2 linked regions of the Lonchura striata genome follow. The protein of the gene in region 1 purifies or fractionates together with the protein of each later gene. This does not show direct contact. Links are inferred from orthologs where the notes say so. Each region holds a gene or a part of one and is shown in the gene's direction. Other genes may lie near its edges.

Region 1 (7,111 bases):
GTGAGTCTGACTCTTTAAATCCACAAATCAGATCTTCACAGTTCCTGTTGGAGCATCACTGATCAGCAGAATTGTGGCTGTGCAATAATTTTATGTCAAAAAGGACAGAAACTGTAAATCCAGGTGTGATGATAGAAGCAGCACTAGGCTGATGCAGTGACACTGTTGCCTGCTGCTCCCCAAATTTACTGCGTCCTTGGTTCCTTCCTAACTGAAGGTGTTTGGAGTGCCAGGCTGTGCCTTGCATGTTAAATAGTGCCTGCTTTTGTTTTATAGCTGCAGGACAATCAGGCTTTTATTAGGAATGCTGCTCTCTCCCCCAGGAAGTTTGTGTTGGCTGCTTTAACCTTTCTGTCCCCTCAGTTACCCAGAGAAACCAAGTGCTCAAACCTGTTGCATTTATTTATCACTGCTCTCCTTTGGTAGCTCCCTTTTTCTTTGTGCTGTTCTGCCACAGCTCCCACACCATTTCCCACTGAGATCTTCCCTTTGAGTAAAAGATCCTGGGATTCAAATAATCAAAAGAAAGTGCTTATAGAGAGAGAAAGTTCTTCCAAAAAACAACCAGGGTTAGATGTGGTGATCCTGGATCCTTCAGGCCAGAAGGAAAAACCTCAATTTCTGACTTTCTTATGTTACTGTTTTTCTCAGAGGCAGAAGGGGAAATTGAGATGTGATATCTAAAGTGAGGAAATAAATACCACTTGTAGCTATTTCCTGGCTGCAGATGATATGGATTTTAGAAGACAGCAGCTGCAGTAGCTCTCACAGCCTCTTTTTACACCAGCCTAGACTCTTTTTGCCTGTAAAGTTAATTGCCTTATGTCAGTTTACAGTGGAAGGTGATTAAGTATTTAGGTTGTCCAGTTTCAGTGCCCCTTTGGAATTTTAAACTCTGCACTCATGAAACTCCAGCTCAGAGCAAGAGCTAAGGTGCTTTGCAGTTAATCTCAGCAAATCCAGCAGGCAAAGTTGAAATTCATCCTACCAGGGATTTAGCTGTAATCTCCTGGGACAATGCATGGGCAGACACCTTAGCTGGGGCTGGGCTGGCTGGGCAGAAATGCCTTCCCCTTGTCAGGGCAAAGTTTGGGACAGGGAGCTGGGCTGGAGAGCTGCTGTCCAGGTGTTATTCCAAATCTGAGCTCACCAGCATTGAGAAATGCATCCTGTCATGACCCTGAGCTGGCCAAAATATTGATTAATGCTTCAGATGAGGAGATGAAATGTATTTTAAAAATAAACAGAGATGGCTTAGATATCAGTAAGAACGAAGAATTCTGAAGTAATCAAAGTATAACATCTACACTTATAGTACATATTCATAGTACAAGTTGCAGAGTAACAAAATAAACAGCAGGTGTGATGGGGAGAGGACAAACACAGTTGTCAGGAGCACCCAGTCATCCAGAAAAACATCACTTCTTGATTTTAAAATAAATTTGTTTTAAGTGAAAATCAGGAAATAAAGCCTCGCCAGGAGCACAAGTCCTGAGCTGGGGGACCAGCCCTCAGAGAGGATCTGGTCTGGGTGTGGGAGATTCCAGCAGGACTGGCTGAGGGCATTCTGTAGGGAAGAAATTCCTCCCTGTGAGGGTGCTGAGGCCCTGGCACAGGTTTTCTATGGAAGTTGTGGCTGCCCCTGGATCACTGAAAGTGTCCAAGGCCAGGTTGCACAGAGCTTGGAGCCACCTGGGGTAGTGGAAGGTGTTTTTTGGGTTCAGGTGCAGATTTCCAAGAGCACTCAGAGCTAGGGGCTCTATCTCAGCAGGCTGGGGCCAGAAATCCTGGAGCACTGAGGGAATACTGCTGGAATCCCTCCCCTTTTCCCTGCTGCGGGGGCTGGACAGCAGAGATAAAATGCAGATTTGGGCATGCTTTGAGGGGCTGCCCATGGAACAGAAGGTTTCACAATCCTGGTGGCTGGTGTGTGCTTCCCTGGAAAGGAAGGCTCAACCCCTGCAAGTGGGACAAACCTGGAGATGGGGACTCATTCCCAGCCCTGCCAGTCCCTGTCTCTGCCACCCAACTTTTCAGTTGTTGTAGGAACAGAACTGTCTCTTCCTTCTGGAGTGATTCAAATGTGAGTGCACTTGTGCTGTTGAGATGGTGCCAGATATCTTTTTTTGCCCTCTGGAATCTCTACAGCAACTTCCAAACTGGGATTTTTAATTAATTCTTAATAGAAGCAAAGTGTGAGCAGCACTCCTTGTATGACCAATAACACCCTTGCAATCTATTTCTTTTTCTTGGGCTCCATTTGTTCTGGCATTACCAAATGCCACTCCCAGCCATGGCTGCCTGCACTAGAGTCATCCTCAGCAGAAATGTTATTATTATAATATTATTTTAATATTAATTTAATAGAATGTGCTTGACTTTATGTACATAAACACTGCATGAATGACCCTCCTCCCCTGCTTAATTTAGCTTAATTCCTCTGTCTACTCCACATGCACTGAATTACACACAAATCCCCACCCTTCACAGGCTTTTCCCTGCCAGTGAATCCAAGCACATCCTGCAGTCACTGCTGGGTGTCCTGTGCCCTCCTCCTGTCACTTAATGCCATGGCATTTCCCAGGGCAGCAAGCAGGGAAATAGCTTGCTTGGGCCTTTTCCTGCCAGGTGTAATTTTGGGAGCTGGATTTTGGGTTCTGTGCCACTAGAGGGAAACCTGGGCTTTTGCATGGAAGTAAAGAGAGCTGCAAGATGTTGGAATAGTGTGGGTGGATGAAACACAAACCAGTGTTGCTGTGTATCCCAGGCAGTCTCACTGCTGGGGTAAAAGGTGTGTTGGGTCACACAAATTATCCAACTCCATTTCAATGTGCTGATGGATAAATCAGGATCCTGAGGACATGGTCAAGTGGTGGCTTTGGCAAGGTTAGGATTATCTGGATTATCTCAGAGGGCTTTTCCAAACTTCACGGTTCTGTGATCATTTTTGGAAGAAAAGATGTCAATTATTGGAGCAATGACAGAACCAGCACAGGGAAGAGTCCCTGAGCACCTTCAGACCTGTCACAATTCAGCTGTTTGTACACAACTCCTTTTTCCTGCCTTCAAGGGTGGGACAAACAGAGTCATTACCAAGTGTCTGTTCTTTAATTGCTCCAGTGTTATCTATATATTGTTTACAGAGGACTCTGAGTGTTGTTAAAGAGGCTTGGAGGAAAGGCTGATTTTACAATCATGGAATGGTTTAGATGGGAAGGGACCCTAAAGCCCATCCTATTCCCCCTGCCCTGGGCAGGGACACCTTCCACTATCCCAGGTTGCTCCAAGCCCCATCCAACCTGGCCTTGGACACTTCCAGGGATGGGGAGTCCACAACCTTCCCTTCTTTCATTTACCTTCCCCATGCTTGGGGTGATGAGGCTCCACAGCAGTTTCATGGGATCTGAGTCTCTTTCTGTTTGTGTTTAGGCTGCCCCAAAATGAGCAGCATTATGGGATGCAGTTTCTCCCAAGCATTTGATGGTTTTTTGTGGTCTTAATCTGGATGAGACTTGCTGAGGCTCATGAGGCTTTCCAGTCAAAGGCTGACCAGCTGTTTCTGCTGGAAATTCTCCCTGTGGTTCAGGGAGCCGTGGGAAGTCAGGTTGTCAGGGCAGGAGTCGCATGAGCAAACGGGAGGTAACAGATCTGTTCCCTTCCATTTTAAGAGTGACCTTTAACTCACCAGACTTTGCAAAATAACTCCAGCAGGATCCTGCTGGAAGTTTGTCTCCAGAGCCCAGCGTGCCCCAGCCCTGGCCTGTGGATCTGGGAAAACACATCCCAGCAGGGCTGGGCTGCTCCTACCTCCCTGCCTGAGGGAGATCCACAGGGATTGACACTGCTGGGCTCCATGGGATGGCTGGGAGCAGTGCCTGTGGCAACCAGGAGGTGACAGAGAAGACAGGAATCCTTTCCAGTGAGGGACAGCAGTGTGGAATTGCGAGTTCTCCCTGACATTGATCCCCTGCCACAAGTGTGAGGACACGGCTTCGGTTACAGAAGGTGCAAGGAGTTATTTTTGGGTGTTCAACAGCTCCCCCGAACTCCTGGCTCATAGGTGGGCCATTGCTGTGTCAAGGTTTTGGGGGTTAATTTTGCCATATTTGACTTTTTAAATGCATCTGTGTGAAAAAGGGACATGGAAGACGCTCCCCTGCCTCTGGTGACGGTGCCAACAGCTCCCTACAGCGACCAGAAACCGGGAACCAGCGGCTTGAGGAGGAAGACCTTCTACTTTGAATCCAAGCTGAACTATTTGCAGAATTTTATCCAGAGTATATTTTTTTCCATAGACCTAAGGGATCGCCAAGGAGCCTCTCTGGTGGTTGGAGGTGATGGGAGGTACCTCAATAAGTCTGCAGTGGAACTGATTGTCCAAATGGCTGCTGCCAACGGGGTTGGTAAATGTTAAAGGGCTGAATTCCTGTGGGGTTGGCTGAGCAGAAATCCATCAGAAATTAGGCACTGTGAGATTTAATTTCCCCAAAGGCTTTGTTTAACTGTTAATAGCAATGTTTTTAATGGCAGATCAGTTGGGGAGTGCAGAAATTACTGGTTTTTCACTCTAAGTGTTGCAGTTGGGCAGGGAGTGCACGTGGAGAAAGGAAAATAAATTCTGCCTGGGGTTTGTGTGTTCCTGTTTTGTGCTTTGACATGTCCCAAGCTGTTGGCACCTGTGGATTTTTCAGTGTTTCCATGAGAATATAAAGCCCTGATACTGTTCAGAAATGAACTACCAGGGAGAGCCACCAGAGTGGCAAAGGAGAACAAACAACCATGTTTTGCCTTTCTCACCAGGTGTAAGTTGTGGCAGTGAGATAAATGCTTAGGGAGCCTTTGAAAATTGATATGAGGGTTAGCAAGTGAGTGACAGCCTTTATAGGGAGCTCAGTTGTGCTGGAATTCTGTGTTTTGGAAGCAGAGCAAGAGGTTTGTGTGTTTGTGCAAGATTGTGGTTCATGCAATGGGCTTTTGTCTTTGTTTCTTTCTGCTTTTTTAAAAGAAAAGGCTCTGCTGTCTATCCTGGATCTCAGTGCAGAACAAACTTTGTGCAAAGGGACCTGGATTTTAGGAATTTGACAAAAAACATGACTAGGACAGTGTAATCGGTAGTGACTGGGAAAATAGGATGAGATTTTTTTTTTTCATTTATTTAAAAAATCAATCTATTTTCCATCTTGTGGGGGAAATATCTTCAGGCATTGCAGATTAATGTCTTCCTTTGAAATCAGTGTATGGGCAGAGCAGAAGAGCTGGAAAATGTTCACAGAGCCAGGCTTGGAGTGCCCAGCACCAGGACAGATCTCCTGGTGAGAGGAGATCGGGCTCATCTTCACCAGCTCAGACTCTGCTCTCTAGCAAAGAACTTTTCCTGGGCCCAGGTCTGCCTAAATGGGATTGAGAGGGTGGTTTGGCTATTTTCCATGGATTTTTCTCAGTCTGGCTGGTGCCTGTCAGTGTTGTGCTCAGGGTGTGGGATTGGTGGCTTGGGCTGCATTTCCTGCACGGAAAAGGCTGCAGGGATGGGCTGGGGCCACCATGGAGCTGCAGCCACCAACTTCCATGGCCTGGAAAAGTGTTCCCAGTGTTCCTGGGGGGAGGAGGGGCTGCAGGAGCTCCCTGTGTGCATCCTCATGGGGCTTTCAGTAAAACCAGGGTGGAATTATTGTCTGGATGGTTTGGAAATGCTGTAACCCAAACTTGCTGCACAAAGTGGGTCTGTTTTGAGAAATCCATGAAAGGTGTTTGTCCATCCTTGCAGCCTGAGGTTTTCCTCATAAGAAATTCCACAGACTCAAAAAGGATCATGTGTAAATCGTTCAGCACATTGTTACACTGTTAACCTTCCCCAGTGGTTACCACAAAGAATTCAGCATTGGATGGGTGGGGAATGGCAGCTGAAAACTTTGGGAAGCCAAGGAAGACCCAAATCACAGAGCAGCTCACATGGAAACCAGTGTTTCTTCCTTTCCTTATTTTCCCCTTCTTCTGCAGCATTCCTGGGGCACTGATGCCCAGGGGTGCTGCAGAATGTGACCCTCAGAGGGAAACTGGGGAGCAGGAGGGAAAGTTTTGCGTGAGGTCCCATGAATTCTCAGGGAAGCTGAAGGAGCAAGGTTTGGAGGCTGGAATAAAGCACAGGACAAGGGGTGTCTGAGAATGAGGGAAAAGCAAACCCTGCATCAGATGAAACGTAAGGTGCAATAAATGAGTGATCAGTGTGTGGGCACAGTCAGGGCTCCAGTATGAGCTGCTGTGGGCAGCTGGAGGCAGGGCCCTCACTTTGGGTTTGTAAAGTGCTTTTTTCACATTTCTGCTGTTATTTGCTAGAAGTGCAGCTCTGCCAGCAGCTGGGCTGTGACAGCTGGGCTGGGATGGGCAGCGAGGTTGGGGCTTAGCACCTGGCAGTGCCAGGGGACAGGAATCACAGCCATCCTGTGCCCTTGGCTCAGCACCCACCACAGCTTGGGAATGCTCCTCTTGATTCCTGCTCCAGCTTGTGACGGAATGAAATCCCTCTTTTCCCAGTGTGTTCTGGGTCTGACCCCCTTGGTTGGTGCAGAGGAGTCTGCTGTGGTTTTAAATCCTGTCACCTCATCTGGGGCTGTGGGAAGGAGTGTGTTCTTCCAGGGAATTCTCCACCTCCTGGTTTATTGCCTGGGTTCTGGAGCTGGTGTATCGCTCAGCACATTGTTCTGGATCCAATCTCAGAGATATCCCTGGATTTATGGGAAGGAGGTGTGCTGCCCACTGCAAGGAAGAACATGCAGCTGCTCCCAGAATGTTCAAGTTTTGTGTTCTTTTGGCTTCTCTCTGCTCCATTGTGTGTTTTGAAGGCAAATTTTGATACCACAGCCAGAGGGAATGCTGTTTTTTGTGGTGTTTAATGCCTGTGGAGAGCTCAGCCCTTCAGTACATCCAAGTGCAGCATTCATGGAGGGAAATGCTCCAACAGAGCGGGGTTGGATATGCTGTGGGGAGCTTTGCAGGAACAGGGCTGTGCTTCACCTGTTGGCAGGGTTTGGGGTTTGGGCTGTGTGGGAAATAGTAAAGATAAGAAGACTTCCAGAAAGCTGTGAAAGCAAGCCTCAGAAACAGAGCAGAGAAG
Region 2 (7,135 bases), on another chromosome or scaffold:
TTTGTCAGGAGCAAAGGGCAGGGGCACGCTGCCCTGCCCGGCTGCGCTCCTGCCGCCTCTCGCCAGGAGCCCGGCTGCAGCAGGGACACACTCCTGCATTGGGGTGCGAGGGTGCTGCAGGAGCAGCGGCACACCCAGCCCCGCCCCGGGGTGGGCACGGCTGGAGGCTGGTGGGGGACACCCACCCTGCCGGGGTGACGGCACACGGAGCCTCGGCACGGCCCGGGCGGGGTGCTGCTGCGGCCAGCAGCGCACGGGACACGGGGACACACAGCGACCTGGGGACACGGGGACACGGGGACACACAGGGACACACGGGGACACGGGGACACGGGGACACACAGCGACCTGGGGACACGGGGACATGGGGACACACAGGGACACACGGGGACACGGGGACACGGGGACACACAGGGACATGGGGACACGGGGATACAGGGACACACAGGGACACACGGGGACACGGGGACACACAGGGACATGGGGACACAGGGATACAGGGACACACAGGGACACACAGGGACACACGGGGACACGGGGACACGGGGACACACAGGGACATGGGGACACGGGGACATGGGGACACACAGGGACACACGGGGACACGGGGACACGGGGACACACAGGGACATGGGGACACGGGGACACGGGGACACACAGGGACATGGGGACACGGGGACATGGGGACACACAGGGACACACGGGGACACGGGGACACGGAGCCACGGCACGGCCCGGGCGGGATGCTGCTGCGGCCAGCAGCACACGGGACACGGAGACACACAGCGACCTGGGGACACGGGGACACGGGGACACACAGGGACACACGGGGACACGGGGACACGGGGACACACAGGGACATGGGGACACGGGGACACGGGGACACACAGGGACACACGGGGACACGGGGACACGGGGACACACAGGGACATGGGGACACAGGGATACAGGGACACACAGGGACACACAGGGACACACGGGGACACGGGGACACATGGGGACATGGGGACATAAAGGGACACGGGCACACGGAGCCACGGCACGGCCCGGGCGGGATGATCCTGCTGCCAGCAGCACACGGGAACACGGGTAACAAAGGGACACCCATAGACACACGGGACACGGGGACACAAAGGGACACACGGGGACAAGGGGACACAAAGGGACACAGGGACACGAGGACACACAGGGACACACGGGGACAGACAGGGACACGGGGACACACGGGCACATGGGGACAGACGGGGACACACGGGGACACACAGGGACACCTGTCCTCGCACACCCCATGGCAGGACAGGCTCCCCGTTGTGAAAAATGCGCATTTTATGATTGGCTTTTTGCAAGTGTTACAATGAATATTACATGTGTGATGTTAGAAAGTTATGCTGTATTAATTCTCTTAAGTAGTGTGTTAAATACAGATTTAGGTTATAACACAATGTTAAAATAGAAACTCTACAATGTAATATATTTTTTACTAGCTCAAGCAAGAGATGAGATAATCAAGAAACTCTTCACGCAGAGGTGTCAGTGACTTGGGGCCCATGAAGAGTTACAGCCTCCTTATGAGGAAAAACAAATATTCTTCCACCTTTTTTCCATCTTTGTGGAACCATCAAGATTAAGGGGAAGTTGACAAAAACCAGAAAAGTTCTTAATTTGCAAGGAATTTATGCATCATGTATGAGATATATGAATATGCAACAGGCTGCTGTTTTTAAGACTATTCCTTTGTTCACAAGGCATGCTTTTCATGACTCAGTGTCTGAGAGCATCGACGTCCATAATTCTTTGCTTTTTATTGTCTTCCAATTGTCCTAACTCTAAATTTTATTACTCTAATTGTATTACTAATTTTATAACCATTTTATTATTATTAAACTTTTAAAATTTTAAAAACCAAGTGATTGGTGTTTTTCACACCCCTTAATCAGGTGGGTCCTGGCAAACGGGCTCTGGACAACAAACTGGGCACCCAACCTCTGTCACTGCCCTCCCGAGAGCCACAGCTCCTCCTCAGAGCCCAGAGAGGTGGGACGGGACGGGACGGGACGGGACGGGATGGGATGCAGATGGGGATGGGGATGGGGGTGGGGATGGGGGTGGGGATGGGTCTCTCTGGCAGAGACCCAGTCATTCTCTGGCTTTTTGCAAGGGCCTGCCACAGCTGCAGGCTCCTGTGGCCTCTGGAGAGCTGCCCTCTGTGCCTCGGGGGCCGGTGTTTCCCTGCAGAGAGGGAGGCTGGTGGTTTCTTCTGCCCCGCCCTGACACCAAACTGCAGCGGCACCAGAGGGTGGCATCCCCAGCTTTGCCGCTGTCCTTCCCACCAGGCAGCAGGAGGGGTGTACGGGTGCGTGGAGGTGTGGCAGCCCTCACCTGGGTGTCAGGGAGGTGTGGGAGTGTCGTGGGTGTCCCACCACCTGCCCCTCTGCCTCTCTTCCAGCCCTCTTGGAAAGGTTTTCAGTTTTCCACAGGTGGACAGTCAGGTCTGCCTGCAACAAACCACAGGGTGCAAACAGAATTGGGCATTTACCTTTGTGTGGGTTTTATCCAGAAACCCCAAAATGGGCAACAAGGGATGTTATCTAGAGCCAGGGTGACCCCTGAGAGATGCAGAGCAGGAGCACAGCACCACGGCCTCCCCTGCAAGGGCGCCCAGGGAGGGCTGGGGGCTCCACACCTGAAGACCATTTACAGGTGCTTTTAATGGGTAAAACCACGTTGTGGCCAGAAATGAGCACTTTGCTTTGTAAATAGACCCTCTCTGGGGGTCCCTGGGTCTCTGGTGCTGCTGGGAGCACTGGCCCAGAGCTTGGAGGTTGCTGAAGTGTCTGGGGGTGACTCCACCACATCCACCAGGACCAGGAATCGGGAGTGGAAAACGCCAGCAGGATGAGCCTGGAGGAGTCACACTGGAGAGCAGGTACTCCCGACACTAATCCACTGATCAGGGAGACAGACAAGGTGTCAGCTCGCATGATATCCAGCTCGGCAGCATAAAACAAACTTTCAAGCAATTATTTAAAAATAAAACCAATTCTGCTGGCATAATCTGACAGCATGCTGATGGTACATCATGAGAGAGGGAAATCCCACCTGGAGCAGCAGAACGAATTCCACATGGAGCAACATCCTGGTGTATGTACCTCAAACTCCATGTCCCTCTGCCCACACATGTGCTGTCTTTACGTGTCTGCCTCTGTGCTCATTCCAAGAGACAGCACAGCTCTGTTAGCTACCGAGATCACCGTTCCCTCGGGCTGCCCTGCCCTGTACCTGCAGCCTCCGAACATGCTTGAATCAGGCCTGCAGGCAATTTAAATCTGAGCTAATTGATGAGCAGTCTCACGGCAGAGTGAGAGGAGGCAGTTGCCCATCCGCAGTCTCAGGGATGCCCCAAAGCTGCCACCAGAGCAGTGGGGGGGAATTCACACCAGAGGAGCTCCCGACTTTGTATGTGTGAGAATGTCCACACCTGTACGTGCAGCTGGGTACTGGTGTGTGCACACAGAGTTGTCTGTGTGTGTGGCAGGCATGTGCACAGATGCATGCCAGTGGCTGTCACAGCACCAGCGGGTCCATCGGGCTGCACAAGACCTCCGACACCACGGACCCCGCCTTGTCCCCAGCCCAGAGCTCCGAGTGCACCTCCGGAATTGCTGGGACACCTGCAGGGATGGGCACTCCAACCCTCCCTGGGCACCTCCAGGCTGAGCTCCCTTTCCATGGGGAAATTCCTGCTGGTTCCACCCTGAGCTGCCCTGGGGCCGTTCCCTCTGCTCCTGTCCCTGTTCCTGGAGCAGAGCCCGACCCCCGGCTGTCCCCTCCTGTCAGGAGCTGTGCAGAGCTCCAGGTTGCCCTGGGCTCCTTTTCCAGGGCAGGGCTGTCCCCACGCCCGTGGATGGCCACACCGCCCGCCCAGCTGCGGGGGCCGAACGCAGGCGGGCCCGGGGCGGAGCGGCCCCGGCGCGGCGGGCGGGGGCTCCGGTGCGCCCGGACAGCTCGGGGCGGTCCCGGTGCGCCCGGAAGGTTCGGGGCGGTCCCGGTTGTTCGGGGCGGTCCCGGCTGTTCGGGGCGGTCCCGGTTGTTCGGGGCGGTCCCGGTGCGCCCGGACAGCTCGGGGCGGTCCCGGCTGTTCGGGGCGGTCCCGGCTGCTCTGCCCGCGCCGTTGCGGCCGCCCGGGGCTGTCCGGCCATGGCGGTGTTCGTGACGCGGCGGATCCCGGCCGAGGGGCTGCGGCTGCTGTCCCAGGCCAGCGGGTGAGCGGGGACAGCGCCGGTGGCGGTCGGTGACGGCGCCGCCGCGGGGCCCGGAGCCGCTCCCGGTGCGGGGCCCGGTGCTGGTATCACTGCCAGGCTCGGAGCCCGTGCAGGTGTCGGTCCCGGACGACGGCGGCCCCGGTGCGGGTGCCGGTCCCGGTCCCGGTGCCGGTCGGTGCGGGCGCCGGTCCCGGTCCCGGTGTCGGCCGGTGACAGTCGGCGCCGGCGCTGGTCCCGTTACCGGTTCTGGTCCCGGTCCCAGCGCCGTGACTGACGGAACCGGTGCCGGTCGGTGCCGGTCCCGGTCCCGTTGGTTACGGAGCCGGTCCCGGTCCCGGTGCCGTGGGTGACGGAGCCGGTCCCGGTGCCTGTGCCGGTCCCGGTCCCGGTGCCGTGCCGGTGGTGACGGAGCCGGTCCTGGTGCCGGTCCCGGTGCCTTGGGTGACGGAGCCGGTGCCGGTCCCGGTCCCAGTCCCGGTGCCTTGGGTGACGGTGCCGGTGCCGGTCCCGGTCCCAGTCCCGGTGCCTTGGGTGACGGAGCCGGTGCCTGTGCCGGTCCCGGTCCCAGTGCCGTGCCAGTGGTGACGGAGCCGGTGCCGGTCGGTGTCGGTCCCGGCGCCGGTGCCGTGGGTGACGGAGCCGGATCCGGTTCCTGTGCCGGTGCCTGTGCCGGTTCCGGTCCCAGTCCCGGTGCCTTGGGTGACGGAGCCGGTGCCGGTCCCGGTCCCAGTCCCGGTGCCTTGGGTGACGGTGCCGGTGCCGGTGCCGGTGCCTGTGCTGGTCCCGGTCCCAGTCCCGGTGCCTTGGGTGACGGAGCCGGTGCCTGTGCCGGTGCCGGTGCCGGTGCCGGTGCCGGTCCCGGTGCCGGGCCCGTGGTGACGGAGCCGGTGCCAGTCGGTGTCGGTCCCGGTGCCGGTCCCGGTCCCGGTCCCGGTCCCAGTCCCGGTGCCTTGGGTGACGGTGCCGGTGCCGGTGCCGGTCCCGGTGCCGGGCCCGTGGTGACGGAGCCGTGCCGCAGGTGCCGCGTGCAGCAGTGGGACTCGGACGAGCCGGTGCCGCGGGCCGAGCTGCTGGCCGGCGTGGCGGGGACGCGCGGGCTGCTCTGCCTGCTCTCGGACCGCATCGACCGCGAGGTGTTGGACGCGGCCGGTGCGTGCGGGGCCCCGCTCCCCCAGTGCTGCCCCGGGCCCGGGACAGCCACGGCAGCGCCCGGCGTGTCTTACAGGGCCCGGCCTGAAGGTCATCAGCACGCTGTCCGTGGGCTTTGACCACCTCGCGCTGGACGAGATCAAGAAGCGGTAGCGCTGCCCCGCTCCTGCCCTGCTCCGACACCTCCTGCCCCGACCCTCACCTGCTCCGACACCTCCTGCCCCCCTCCTGCCCTGCTCCGACACCTCCTGCCCAGCTCTGACACCTCTTGCCCCCTCCTGCCTTGCTCCAACACCTCCTGCCTCCTCCTGCCCTGCTCTGACCCCCGTGCTCCGTTCCCTCCCCCTGCTCTGACCCCCTGCACTGTGCCCCTGGTTCTGGATCCCTTCCCCTGCCCCACATCCCACTGGTCCTCCAGGTGGGCTTTCCCAGAGCCCGGGGCCGGTGGGGTCAGCTGCCCACACCCCTCCACTGCTGGATCGTGGCTGGGGTCACCCCAACCACACCAGGGCTGGAGGAGCCTGTGGCGCTGGGCAAAGTCTGCCCAGGGAAAGGGAGTGCCAGGAGGGCTGGGGGCTGCAGGATGACCCCGGAGTTCCAGGAGGGCTGGGGGCTGCAGGATGACCTGGCTGCCTGGGGACAGTGCTGGCAGCCAGCCCGGGCAGGGCAGCACCCAGAGCCCGCTGTGCTGCAGGGGGATCCGGGTGGGGTACACCCCTGACGTGCTGACCGACGCCACGGCCGAGCTGTCGGTGGCCCTGCTGCTGTCCGCCTGCCGCCGCCTGCCCGAGGCCGCCGAGCAGGTCAAGAGGTGAGTGCCCGCTCGGGGTCCTGCCAGGGTGACGAGGGGCCAGGCCAGCGTTCTGTGGGGCTCACACCGAGCACCTGGCGTGCGGCTGGGCTCTGAACGGCTTTCCATGACCCCATCCCTGTCCTGCTCTCTCTGCCAGTGGTGGCTGGACAACCTGGAAGCCCCTGTGGATGTGTGGGTATGGCCTGTCTGACAGCACCGTGGGCATCATCGGGCTGGGCAGGATCGGTGAGTGCAGCTCAGAGGCACTGCCTGCAGCAGTGCCAGGGTGAGCTCGGAGCCCCACCTTCAGCCTGGGCTGCTGGAGGGTGCCCCTGCTGGGGTGGGAGGGTTGGAGTAAGATGGCCTTTGCAGTCCTTCCCAGCCCAGACTGCTCTGGGACTCTGGCTCAGCCCGGGTGGTGGCCTGTGCTCACCGGGGGCACAGCAAGGGGAGCCTGCAGAGCCTCTCCCAGCAGCTGCAGTGGCTTGCCATCCTCAGCCTTAAAGCCTCGGGTGTTCATGTGCTTCCACCGACCCCCGTCAGGCCCTGCAGCAGTCTCTGTCTCCTCCCACTCCTTGGTTGCACAAATGGGTGCCAAAGTCCACGGATGCTCGGCACGGTCCAGCTGTGGACTTTGCCAGCAGGCAGCCGGTCCTGCCCTCGCTGCCAGGGCAGCCCCGGGGCAGTGTCCGCAGCAGAGCGGCTCCACCAGCCAGGCAGGGCTGCTCCCACTGCAGCAGCCCTTCAGCAGCTTCAGGCGCTGCTGCCCGCTCTGCCGTGCAGCCACAGCAGCGACACCCTCCTGGCTCTCTCCTAGGACAGGCAGTGGCCCGGCGCCTGAAGCCCTTTGGGGTCAGCAAGTTCCTCTACACTGGCAACAGCCCCAAGCCAGAGAGCGCGGCCGAGTTCGGGGCTGAGTTTGGTAAGGACG

What was found. Proteins that work in one complex are often made in the same cells at the same time.
Region 2: the proteins of PGM1 (region 1) and GRHPR fractionate together in Homo sapiens (co-fractionation; 3 studies listed by BioGRID). This does not show direct contact. The link is inferred for Lonchura striata from reciprocal best matches to the Homo sapiens genes PGM1 and GRHPR.

What each region holds. Positions count from the first base shown.
Region 1 is NC_134611.1:6,053,158-6,060,268, reverse strand, and holds the start of PGM1 (phosphoglucomutase-1), read left to right. Parts: upstream 1-4,009; 5' UTR 4,010-4,141; coding exon 4,142-4,399; intron 4,400-7,111. UniProt on the Homo sapiens protein: Catalyzes the reversible isomerization of alpha-D-glucose 1-phosphate to alpha-D-glucose 6-phosphate. The mechanism proceeds via the intermediate compound alpha-D-glucose 1,6-bisphosphate.
Region 2 is NC_134642.1:86,311,871-86,319,005, reverse strand, and holds the start of GRHPR (glyoxylate reductase/hydroxypyruvate reductase), read left to right. Parts: upstream 1-4,124; 5' UTR 4,125-4,197; coding exon 4,198-4,262; intron 4,263-5,280; coding exon 5,281-5,411; intron 5,412-5,487; coding exon 5,488-5,560; intron 5,561-6,105; coding exon 6,106-6,222; intron 6,223-6,361; coding exon 6,362-6,450; intron 6,451-7,021; coding exon 7,022-7,126; intron 7,127-7,135. UniProt on the Homo sapiens protein: Enzyme with hydroxy-pyruvate reductase, glyoxylate reductase and D-glycerate dehydrogenase enzymatic activities. Reduces hydroxypyruvate to D-glycerate, glyoxylate to glycolate, oxidizes D-glycerate to hydroxypyruvate.